Drosophila melanogaster: one gene and its partner. The protein of the gene in region 1 interacts with the protein of each later gene in a pairwise test. Each region holds a gene or a part of one and is shown on either strand. Other genes may lie near its edges. The genes, in order: Spt7 and Sf3b3.

The links.
Region 2: the proteins of Spt7 (region 1) and Sf3b3 interact in a two-hybrid assay, tested with the Drosophila melanogaster proteins (one study listed by BioGRID).

The regions. Positions count from the first base shown.
Region 1 is NC_004354.4:17,848,732-17,852,588, reverse strand, and holds Spt7 (Spt7), read right to left. Parts: upstream 2,130-3,857; 5' UTR 2,049-2,129; coding exon 1,906-2,048; intron 1,845-1,905; coding exon 1,742-1,844; intron 1,682-1,741; coding exon 848-1,681; 3' UTR 702-847; downstream 1-701. Other genes in the region: CG32554 (uncharacterized protein), read left to right, coding at 1-701; CG15814 (uncharacterized protein), read left to right, coding at 2,634-2,681, 2,779-2,813, 2,879-3,175, 3,244-3,472, 3,535-3,770, 3,828-3,857. UniProt on the Drosophila melanogaster protein: Component of the transcription regulatory complex SAGA, a multiprotein complex that activates transcription by remodeling chromatin and mediating histone acetylation and deubiquitination. The SAGA complex predominantly acetylates histone H3.
Region 2 is NT_037436.4:827,129-835,233, reverse strand, and holds the start of Sf3b3 (splicing factor 3b subunit 3), read left to right. Parts: upstream 1-1,848; 5' UTR 1,849-1,974; intron 1,975-2,024; exon of another isoform or gene 2,025-2,172; intron 2,173-2,258; 5' UTR 2,259-2,293; coding exon 2,294-2,519; intron 2,520-2,594; exon of another isoform or gene 2,595-2,747; intron 2,748-2,826; coding exon 2,827-3,192; intron 3,193-3,225; exon of another isoform or gene 3,226-3,364; intron 3,365-3,443; coding exon 3,444-3,918; intron 3,919-3,991; coding exon 3,992-4,326; intron 4,327-4,505; coding exon of another isoform or gene 4,506-4,513; exon of another isoform or gene 4,514-4,612; intron 4,613-4,722; exon of another isoform or gene 4,723-4,797; intron 4,798-4,892; coding exon 4,893-5,200; intron 5,201-5,241; exon of another isoform or gene 5,242-5,382; coding exon 5,383-7,356; 3' UTR 7,357-7,357; intron 7,358-7,390; exon of another isoform or gene 7,391-7,470; intron 7,471-7,536; 3' UTR 7,537-7,588; intron 7,589-7,613; exon of another isoform or gene 7,614-7,697; intron 7,698-7,764; 3' UTR 7,765-7,811; intron 7,812-7,850; exon of another isoform or gene 7,851-7,922; intron 7,923-7,997; 3' UTR 7,998-8,052; and 2 more. Other genes in the region: CG42553 (uncharacterized protein), read right to left, coding at 1-455, 516-842, 899-1,057. UniProt on the Drosophila melanogaster protein: Involved in pre-mRNA splicing as a component of the splicing factor SF3B complex, a constituent of the spliceosome. SF3B complex is required for 'A' complex assembly formed by the stable binding of U2 snRNP to the branchpoint sequence (BPS) in pre-mRNA.

The DNA of each region.
Region 1 (3,857 bases):
ATAGCGACTCTGATTCCGAGGACGACGCCCAGATGCGCCAGTTCCTGGAGGCGGCGGACACCACGTTGCTCACAAATGCCATGTATCAATCGCAGCCAAAAGAGGAGGCGCATGAAGTAGCCAACGAGGAGCAACCGTTGGCCACTAGGAAGGACGAAGCACAGCCGGTAAAAAGTGAACGCTACGTGGAGGATCAGGACGCGCCTGCCAGCGATCTGCAGATCTCGCAGGAGATGCAAACGCACATTTGGCGCAGACTGAGCGGCATAATCCAGGAGCAAATCGAGTTCTCTCTGGATGTACCCAATGGCGTAGGCAAACAGAAGCCCCCACCCGACAAAGTCAAGCTCGTGTCCAATGCCGATTGCTATTTGATCGCCGATTTGGTGGTGGAAGGTCCTGCAGGTCCGAAAAAGAAACCTAACATAAGGAGACGGACCCCCGAAGAAGACCAATCCGCGCCCGAAGCTCTGGACTCTGTGGTGGTCACTGGCAACTCCATACTGGAAGGCAGGGACCTGCTGGCGTGGGCCCAGAAAAAGACGCGCCACGACAAAGTGTTCCAGTACAGAGCCAGCGATCCGAATGCAACCAAACTTGTGGCCATTGAACCCACCAACGAGTTCACCAAGCGGAGGCGACAAAACAACTGGAACGAGTCGAGGATTAGCAAAAAGATGAGCAATAAACAAAACACGTAATAAAAACTATTTAATTAGTACGTTTCCTTAGAGCTTAACTTAACTTGAGCCTAGAGATCTTAGTCGTTCTATAAAAAGTGTGAAACATTTGATTGCTAGAGATATCTCAGTGTGAGATAATGAAGTTATCCCCGCAATTTTAACAATTACGTTTCAAAAGTGGCGTGAAAGTTGCTAATCGTGGCCCCATTGCCATTTCCATTGCCGCCCGTGCTGCCATTGCCGCTCGTCCCCGTCATGTTGGAGGTATTGGACGATATCTGGCCATCGAGCAGGCCGTACAGCATCTGCTGGGAGCTGACTGTGCCACTGGAGCCCGTGCTACCGCCCAGATCCTGCAGCATATCGCCCATGGCCATGCCGCCTATGCTCTGGCTGCTGCCTGTGGCGCTGTTGTCCAGGATGTTGAGAAAGTCGTGGCCGTTGAACTCGTTGTGCTGCTTCTGCATGCTGCTCTGGCTCTCCTTCATCAGTTTGTCGTACTCCTGCAGTACGCTGTTGAACTCAGCGATCTCCGCGCGATTCCTGGCCAGCACCTTGTGCTTGTAGTAGTTGTGCACCTGGGTGAGCGAGGTGCCCGTTTGGGCGAAATGGGCGCGCTCCAGTGGGACCAGCTGCAGCACCGTGGAATTCTGCAGCCGCGGCTGACTGTCATAGTAGCCGCGATACTCGCCGATAAAGCTGCGCAGGAACTCCTCGGTGGCGTCCGTCAGCAGTTGCACCGCCGACTCGGAACAGTCGGTGAAGCCGGCCAGGCGCAGCATGCCGCACATCACCTTGCGCATCGCCTGGCGGCAAGCAGAGCTGGGGATCTCCGGATATGCCTCCGGATCCCCGCGAGAGTAGGCTGTGTCCACGGTTGGTGTGAACCAAATGGGCTTCTGAAACTTTTGGCTGCCCACCAGTTCGGCTGCGTTCTCCGGCGGAAAGTCCACTTCCGGTATCATTAGGCACGGATTCAAGAGGTAATTGGAACTTCCCTATGAATTCATTGGGTAAATTAGGTAAATACTACGGTTAAACAAGAACCAAGAACTTGCATTTTTGTTGGAGTACGTTTCAATGAGGGACTGCAGCACCTCGGTTTGCTTCATCACCTCGATGGTCTGGGTGACCAGCGCACTCCTCAGCTCCAACTTGTGGCTACATGGAATATATGGTTAGTTTACCGGCTGCGTTAAAGCTTTTCTTTAGATTTATTTACTGCTTTTCTTGCGGTTGCGGATCTCCGCGCTGGCGAATCTCGTCCAGCTTAAGTTTCTTGGCCGCCGTGGGCACGTATTTGTCCGGCGTCAGTTGACCGCCGTCATCCTCTGCGGGCAGCGAGCCCCAGTGCTCTGTTTGCATGTTTATTTCGCTTAAAAACCTACGTACAACATTTACTTAACAATATATTGTTGTTTACTTATCGGGCCCTAAAATAACATGGTTGGTTATCGGGACTATCGATAAGTTTGCTTGCGCTGGGAACGAAATACTCAACTCATTGAACCAAACAGCTGATTGTCGGTAAACATCGGCACGGCCTGCAGCGGCATCTGGCAACGTTGGCCTCGAACGTTTCGTTTTCGATAATCAGAAAGCGCTGTCGTAGCTAAAGTAAATAAAGGTTATGATAAAATAGCAACAATTTGGGAAAAACCCCATACTCAGGACAGCTGGTTCTAACAATCAGGTCGCGCTTGTATTTTTGTGGCTCACGTCACACATACATGTATTCGTTTTTTCGGCCGCTGTGACAAATGGCAACGCCACTGCAGCTGGACAAGCACACAGGCATAAAATGTAATTATTTGTTTTCGTTTCACGAATTTCAAAGGTAAAAACCGATCGCAATACGTGGTGGGCAAGATAACGCAGCGACGCAGACGACGAGTGGGACTGTCCGGCGGATTGGCGGCAGCGGGATACGGCGGATACAACGGCAATAAGATGCACCAGGAGCACATGGACCTGCATGAGCCCGTGGACTTGAACAAGGTGAGTCTTTTCTAATGGGAATCGAATAGGAAGCCCCACTCTACTGCCAAATTTTCCCTCTTCCCTGCAATTCCCTGCTAATGCGGATGTCCATCAGTCCCTGGACGAAATGACGCCGGAGGAGCGAATGCGGTAAGTGAAGTGGCCTTAGAAAATCCTTTAAATCATAACAAATTTTCGGCTATCCAATCGAACAGAGCGCAGCATCAACTGATGGTGGAGAAACATCGCGGCCACGATGCCATGCACTCCGAGATGGTGATCATTCTGTTCGTCACCCTGGTTATTGCCCAGATCATCCTGGTCGAGTGGAAGAAGCGGCACTACAGATCCTACGCTTTCGTCACCCTGCTGGCCATGTGGCTCATTCCGCTGATCATCTCCTGCAGCTTCGGCTGGCTGCGCTTCATAATCATCTGGCTGGTGTTCACCTGCATCACGGCACTGGTTATGCGACGGGCCATCAGCAAGCCCATCCAGGGCACAACGCCTAGGTGAGTCAACGTAGATAAGAACGGCGACCGACGAAGGCCAGATAATAACCCATAAAATCCAATTTCAGGCTGGTCTACAAGTGGTTCTACTTCATCTACAAGCTCAGCTATGGCCTTGGCCTGGTGGGCTATCTGGTGATCATAGCCGCCTTTCTGGGCATGAATTACATGTTCTCACAGCCACCAAACACATGGATGGATGTGGGCCTGATGTTCTGCTTCTACGGCCTGTACATCGGCGTCCTGGGGCGTGATATATCCGAGATATGTTCGGATAAGATGGCGGCAGCTATTGGCGTGAGTTGACCATTGGCCAGATACCCAGTTGGAATCTTCTAACCCTCCCGTTTGTCCCACAGTACTACACACCTCAGGGTATTCCAACACGACATCTTGATCAGAATGTCTGCGCAGTGTGTGGCAATCAGTTGCTGGTCTCGGAGAAGGAAGAGGGCGTCATTGAGAACACCTACAAGTTGTCTTGTAACCACGTATTCCACGAGTTCTGTATACGTGGTTGGTGCATTGTGGGCAAGAAGCAGACGTGTCCCTACTGCAAGGAAAAGGTCGATCTCCAGAAGATGTTCCGCAATCCGTAAGCCATTCAGAGCCATCCGTTTGACTGGCCTACTTAATATTGTTTCTCCTCTAGCTGGGAGAAGCCGCACGTTTTGTACGGTCG
Region 2 (8,105 bases), on another chromosome or scaffold:
ACGTTGGCAGTGAAACGTATGTGGGAGAATTCTTCGGGTATTGTTTCCACATCCGGATAAACGGTGACCCGTTTCATCAGTTCCTCGGCTCGCTTCCGTTCGCCCTCGCCGCCTACAATATCCAAAATACTCTGGAAGGCATCGTAGGCTAACTGGCAGCAGACCAAGGTTTTTCCCTCTAGGATTTTCTCGAGGAGCGGTTTTAGCGGCGAGGCTCTTTCCCTTTCCGCCTGTTCGGTGAGCAGAGGTTCCTTGTAGACCCAATTGGCGGATCCGTTGGTGAGCGCACTAACGTAGGCCAGCAATGTGGTCACATCTAGATTCAGTTCGTTCGACGTCGTGGCGTACATATCCAAGTCGGTGTCTGGTGAGTCCAGGGAAGCAGTTTGTACGCCCATTTCCATTAGCTCTTCATGCAGGGAGTCCTCGATTTTGTTGGAGAAGTAGAATACTATCTAAAAGGCAGTATATCAGATGATGAATGCTGTCTAGGGTAGCATACTATTAGGCATTACCTTCGGCCTCTGGAACATGCAGAAACTAAGTTCGCTGGCCTCCAGATAATCCTCCGCCTGGTCGATGACACTTCGGGCTCCGATGCTGACACATCCCCTGGCCGCGTCCTCGACGGACTTCGAGTTCCTGGCTATCACCTTCACCCACTTGAGTCCATTGTTGGCCACGATGTCGACTCTCAGGGGACTATCCCTAGACTCCAGGCGGAATACGGCATTGATGTCGACTACTCCTTGTTGCAAACGCAGAGTTTTAATGAGAAAATCGTAGTAAACAAAGTTACTGCTGGTTATGTGGTGTTCCTTTACGGACCTTGTAGTAATCACCTTGAAGGAAAATGCTTTTACTCAATGTTTTTATCATGAAAAATAGGCAAACAAACCTTATTTAGAAATTTGAGCTCTTGCTGAATTTTTCGCTGTACTTTGCTGACACCAGGCAAATCTTCGAAGTCTTTCAGCGCTTTCTTCAGCTCCTCGCCCAGTTTTACTTTCTTGTGGGCTTCTTCGTAGAGCTTTTCTCGATCCTCTTGCTCCTCCATATTAAAACGTTAGCAATATTTACAAAAATCACGAAATATTTGTTTTTAGCTGTCAGCTGTTTTGAAGAAGCAAAGATGCAATGACATTTCAGGTTTTACAACACTGACAATTCCATGACTGATTAGAGATGTCGCGAATCTGAAGTTGGTATATCGATAGTCAACAAACCTAGTTTACTAAGTAATAATTGATGATTTTTCTAATTAGTCTAATAACATGAGCCAACGCCGCGTAAAAATATACTCAAGTAGAGATCGAATAAACAGAAAAAAATAGTTGGGGACTGATCTATTTATTTTTTTTAAATACCTTTAAAGTTTTCTCCTTAATCATACCTTAATAGCATAGTATTGAGCCCAGCCCTTTAGCCACAATTCGGTGAGTGGTTTTGTTTTCATTTAAGCCCATGATAAAAATTTTTTAAGTTAAAGAAAGATAAAACGATTGATCCAGTACATATTTTTACAGATCCTTGAAATTTTCCATTTTTTCACAGAAAATTGCATATTATATGTTTAGCTTTTGAGGCAGTTTTTGGTATGTGGAACTGGGATTGGCCCATGGCAATTTCCGAATATTTAAATGTGGTATATTTAATAAAGGATAAATTCGATATATCTTGACCAGGATTTTTAGGAAACTTATGATTTCTGCAGCAACAATTTCCAGTAAAATAATTATTTAATTTATAATCAGTCTGAACCGGGCCTATTATCGATAGGAAAATCGACGGCCGCGCACTATCGATAAGTCAAGCCACATTTTATGCACCACCATTTTTACTTTTATAGTTCTTTTACTTTTTGTCGGCGAACAGAGCAGATGTGAAAATGAAGAGTTCTGAGTAATCAGGAAAATTCGAATCCAAAGGCATCGCTGGTGAAATGTGCTAATTCATCCATTTAACCAGCCGAAGGTAAACAAATACACGTGCTAGCACTGATATCTACTATTATTTAAGCGCTTTCCGCACGAAGTATCTCCAGAAATCAGAAATGTCTGTGCTTTGGTCGCATTTGAAGCGTGCTAAACTAAGAATTAAATGCTGCTTACTAGCATCGTTAGGCGACACGACTTTCCATACTGTGGCCATGGTTTTCAAAGTAGTACAAATTCACAAAAAAAAAAATACACCGCCATTCACGTGACTTTTTCCCTTGTCTGCAACTGTACCTAACCTCAACATTGCTTCTCTTGCAGTCGTGGACAAAAGTGAAAGAGTGTAGTGCTCCACCATGTATCTGTACAACCTGACCCTGCAGAAGGCCACCGGCGTGACCCACGCGGTCCACGGCAACTTCTCCGGCGGCAAGCAGCAGGAGGTCCTCCTGTCGCGTGGCAAGTCGCTGGAGCTACTGCGTCCGGACTCCAACACCGGCAAGGTGCACACCCTGCTCTCCACGGAGATATTCGGATGCGTTCGCGCCCTGATGGCCTTTCGACTGACGGGCGGCACTAAAGGTGAGTCTTTCAATTGTAATTTAGTTTTGTACCATCAATTGGGAGTAATGTATTGCTCCTATATAATCTATGTAAGTCGCACAAATCCCTATTGAGGCAACAGACGGCTAGTTGACCCCAGTAAGACCTTTGAACGCGTCTAAGTGCGAGAGAAACCGAAAGACTTGACGTCGCATTTGCCATAAACCAACTCAACGGAGTGGCGAATTGAAACTTCGAGTTACAAAGTCAATAAAATATCATTATAGTCATTAGAAAGTGTTAAATGTATGACCCTAATCTCGAATATCGTTACCTTGCTTTGCAGATTACATAGTTGTGGGCTCGGACTCGGGACGCATCGTGATCCTCGAGTACAATCCCTCCAAGAATGCTCTTGAAAAAGTGCACCAGGAGACGTTCGGAAAGTCGGGATGTCGCAGGATTGTGCCTGGGCAATACTTTGCCATCGATCCTAAAGGAAGAGCCGTGATGATTGGCGCCGTGGAGAAGCAAAAGCTGGCCTACATCATGAACCGGGACACGCAGGCTCGCCTCACGATCTCATCGCCCCTGGAGGCCCACAAATCGAATACACTGACATACCACATGGTCGGCGTGGATGTGGGCTTCGATAATCCCATGTTCGCCTGCCTAGAGATCGACTACGAAGAGGCCGACATGGATCCATCGGGTAAGCATCAACTAGGTGGCGTGTAGACCCTAGAAGGCGCTTTAATTCACAGGTTTAGTGGATCCACACCACGAACACTGACTGTACTTAGTGCCAGATAAATCGTGATCACTGAACCATTGGTGTTGCTGTAATTGCCTAGCCACACTTCACTGATTTGTGACCCACACTTCCTAATCTCAATTGATAACATTTTGATAGTACAATGCTATAGTCCTGTAACTAATCAGTGTCGCATCTATTTGTTCCAGGTGACGCCGCCCAGCGCACTCAGCAAACGCTGACTTTCTACGAGTTGGATCTCGGCTTAAACCACGTGGTTCGCAAATACTCGGAGCCCTTGGAAGAGCACGCCAATTTCTTGGTATCCGTGCCTGGGGGCAACGATGGTCCTTCGGGCGTGCTGATCTGCTCGGAGAACTACCTAACGTACAAGAATCTCGGCGATCAGCACGATATCCGCTGTCCCATTCCGCGCAGGAGAAACGATCTGGATGATCCCGAACGTGGTATGATCTTCATCTGCTCGGCCACACATCGCACCAAGAGCATGTACTTCTTCCTGCTGCAGACCGAGCAGGGAGACATCTTTAAGATCACCCTGGAAACGGACGATGATGTGGTCTCCGAGATCAAGCTAAAGTACTTCGATACAGTGCCGCCGGCAACTGCCATGTGCGTGCTAAAGACGGGTTTCCTGTTCGTGGCCAGCGAGTTTGGCAACCAGTGAGTATCTACAAATCATTCATTTGAGAATAATATGAATGGGTACTAATTGAGGTATTTGTGTAACCCTCAGCTATCTATATCAAATCGCTCATCTGGGTGACGACGATGACGAGCCGGAGTTCAGTTCGGCCATGCCTTTGGAGGAGGGTGAAACCTTCTTCTTTGCGCCACGTGCCCTAAAGAACCTGGTGCTTGTGGATGAACTGCCCTCTTTCGCACCGATCATCACCTCCCAGGTGGCTGATCTGGCCAACGAGGACACACCGCAACTGTACGTTCTTTGCGGACGAGGACCGCGTTCCACTCTGCGGGTGCTGCGCCACGGCCTCGAGGTGTCCGAGATGGCCGTTTCCGAACTGCCTGGTAATCCCAATGCGGTTTGGACTGTGAAGAAACGAGCTGATGGTGAGTGTGTCTGCGGGCATTAATCATGATTCCTAAGCTAAGATTAGACTAAGACTGAAACGTGGCTAATAACTCAACTGGTGCATTGATACAGATCGAGATATAGATTACACCTAGCTTTACGCACGATTCCAAACAAGTCCCACAAGTTATCAACCACCAGTTCTCTCTTATTTCAGGCGCTTAAACACAGACGGCAATATGTGTGAACTATCGAAAAAGACAAGCGATTAAAGAGAATTTCTCTCGTTTGTGTAATTTTAAATTGTCTTTTGTGAAGCGATAGGTAAGGCAACATTTACTGCAGCTCATAAGTCAAACAGATACTACAACTACCACTGCTACTATACCAATGAAAACAGAACAAAAGCTAACTATATTTAAGCCAGTCGGACATTGAACATGATGCGATATTTATCAACCGTGTTTCAGCTGAATTATCCATTGATTACAACTTGATAAACTGATTATTCAATGTCTTGTGTGATACGCAGATCTTTTTCGCTTGCTCGATTCAAACTGAAGTACTCACGTTCCAAGTATTGTTTTGCTCCCCTATTTTTTAGACGAGTTTGATGCCTATATCATCGTGTCCTTCGTGAATGCCACCCTGGTTTTGAGCATTGGCGAAACCGTCGAGGAAGTCACGGACAGCGGTTTCCTGGGCACCACGCCCACGCTCTGTTGTGCCGCCCTGGGCGATGATGCGCTGGTTCAGGTTTACCCCGATGGCATTCGACATATCCGATCCGACAAGCGTGTGAACGAGTGGAAGGCTCCGGGCAAGAAGTCCATTACCAAGTGCGCCGTGAATCAGCGCCAGGTGGTCATCACCTTGTCGGGCAGGGAGTTGGTCTACTTCGAAATGGATCCGGTAAGCAATTCTACTACTATATTACACTCAACTGTTGACTTCTTGCTCTGATGACAAAAACACGAAAAGAACAATCATGTTGAGACACTATGTGTCCTGCAGTGCTGAGCTTCAAAATCAACCAAAAGCCTTATCCTCGTTTACTTAACTTCACAACTAATGAATACATTTTATGCTTGCAGACTGGGGAGCTGAACGAGTACACGGAACGTTCCGAGATGCCTGCTGAGATTATGTGCATGGCCTTGGGAACTGTTCCGGAGGGCGAGCAGAGATCCTGGTTCTTGGCCGTCGGCCTGGCGGATAATACAGTGCGCATCTTATCGCTGGATCCCAACAACTGTCTCACTCCCTGCTCCATGCAGGCCCTGCCTTCGCCAGCCGAATCCCTTTGCCTGGTCGAAATGGGTCACACGGAGAGCACGACTCAGGGAGGTTTGGATGACGATGCTCCCGCTCAGCGCAGTGGCAACAATAAGGGAACCATTTACCTAAACATTGGCTTGAGCAACGGTGTCCTGCTGAGAACTGTGCTCGATCCTGTTTCCGGAGATTTGGCAGACACCCGAACGAGATATTTGGGTTCCCGACCCGTAAAGCTCTTCCGGATCAAGATGCAGGGATCCGAAGCGGTGCTGGCCATGTCCAGTCGAACCTGGCTGTCGTACTACCACCAAAATCGATTCCATTTGACGCCTCTGTCTTATGAAACCCTTGAGTATGCTTCTGGCTTCTCGAGCGAGCAGTGCAGCGAAGGTATCGTGGCTATATCCACCAACACCTTGAGGATCTTGGCCCTGGAGAAACTGGGAGCCGTCTTCAATCAAGTAGCGTTCCCCTTGCAGTACACTCCACGTACCTTTGTAATCCATCCGGATACGGGACGCATGCTAATTGCCGAAACCGATCACAACGCCTACACAGAGGATACGAAGAGTGCCCGAAAGGAGCAAATGGCGGAGGAGATGCGCAGTGCAGCTGGCGATGAGGAAAGGGAGTTGGCCCGCGAAATGGCCAATGCTTTCATCAACGAAGTCCTTCCCGAGGACGTGTTTTCGTCGCCCAAAGCAGGACTGGGTCTTTGGGCCTCGCAAATCCGTTGCCTGGACGCAATGCATGGTCAGACGATGTTTAGTGTGCCGCTCACCCAAAACGAGGCCATTATGTCGATGGCCATGCTGAAGTTCTCCATAGCGGCTGATGGCCGGTACTACCTGGCCGTGGGAATCGCCAAGGATCTGCAGCTGAATCCCAGGATTTCGCAAGGCGGCTGCATAGATATCTACAAAATAGATCCCACTTGCTCCAGTCTGGAATTCATGCACCGCACGGACATTGACGAGATTCCTGGAGCCCTGTGTGGCTTCCAGGGTCGTCTACTAGCTGGCTGCGGTCGAATGTTGCGAATCTACGATTTCGGCAAGAAGAAAATGCTGCGCAAATGCGAGAACAAGCACATTCCCTATCAGATTGTCAATATCCAAGCCATGGGTCATCGTGTTTACGTGTCGGATGTTCAGGAATCAGTATTTTTCATACGCTATCGTCGCGCGGAGAACCAGCTGATTATATTTGCCGATGACACGCATCCTCGATGGGTGACGGCCACCACCTTGCTGGACTATGATACCATAGCCATAGCCGATAAGTTTGGCAACCTGAGCATTCAGCGATTGCCCCACTCCGTAACGGACGATGTGGACGAGGATCCAACGGGCACCAAGTCTCTGTGGGATCGTGGCCTGCTGTCAGGTGCTTCACAGAAGTCGGAGAACATTTGCTCCTTCCATGTGGGCGAGATAATCATGTCGCTGCAGAAGGCAACGCTAATTCCTGGAGGATCGGAAGCCCTTATATACGCCACGCTAAGTGGCACTGTTGGAGCATTTGTTCCGTTCACCAGTCGCGAGGACTACGACTTCTTCCAACATCTGGAGATGCACATGCGCAATGAGAATCCTCCACTCTGTGGACGCGACCATCTCAGCTACAGGAGCTCGTATTATCCGGTCAAAAACGTACTCGACGGCGATCTCTGCGAGCAGTATCTGTCCATTGAGGCAGCCAAGCAGAAGAGCATAGCTGGCGACATGTTCCGCACTCCCAATCAGATCTGCAAGAAACTGGAGGATATTCGCACGCGATACGCCTTCTAAGGTGAGTTGGAATCGATATGCCTATGGGACATAGGTTTTTGTGATGACATAGCTATTTTACCTTGGGACACCTATGAAATGCCTTGATTAGCGTAAACGTCAATATCTGATAAATACTTTGCTGAATTTAGTCTTTTATGATTATTGAACAGAAAGCTAACAATTGTTTATATTTTGCAGATGCCAGCAAAGGAACACTTCAATATCATGGAAACTTTTCTTTTTTAACTAGGTAAGTTGGTTTCTATTTATAGTTGTTTTCAATGATGATTTTCGAGTTTTACCTTGGGACACCTATGAAATGCCTTGATTAGTGTAAAGTTATGTTTTTCTGATAACAAATTCAAGCGTTTATTGATTGAAAAGCAAAGAAATGTTATTAATTTTGTATTTCTCTTTCTATTGCAGTTTTCGTGGGCAAAACCAACAAACGCTGCACCTAAAACGTTTTAAAGGTAAGAAATTGTAACGATTAAGCCACATTTTCGTTGAGTTAAACAATGATGTTATTTTACATATGTTAGACTAATGAAATGATTTGATTGTAAATTAGTAACTGAGAATGTTTTTAAAATTAAAAATTTCAATACTTATTTATGATAATTACTGGATCGATTAGTAAATTGATGCTTTCTTTGCAGTTTAATCGGAAAATTCCAATGACCATTAGACCATTACATTAGGAACACTTTCAAGGTACGTAATATATATTTAAACCACTTCAATTTAAATAAGCTCTATGATGTTAT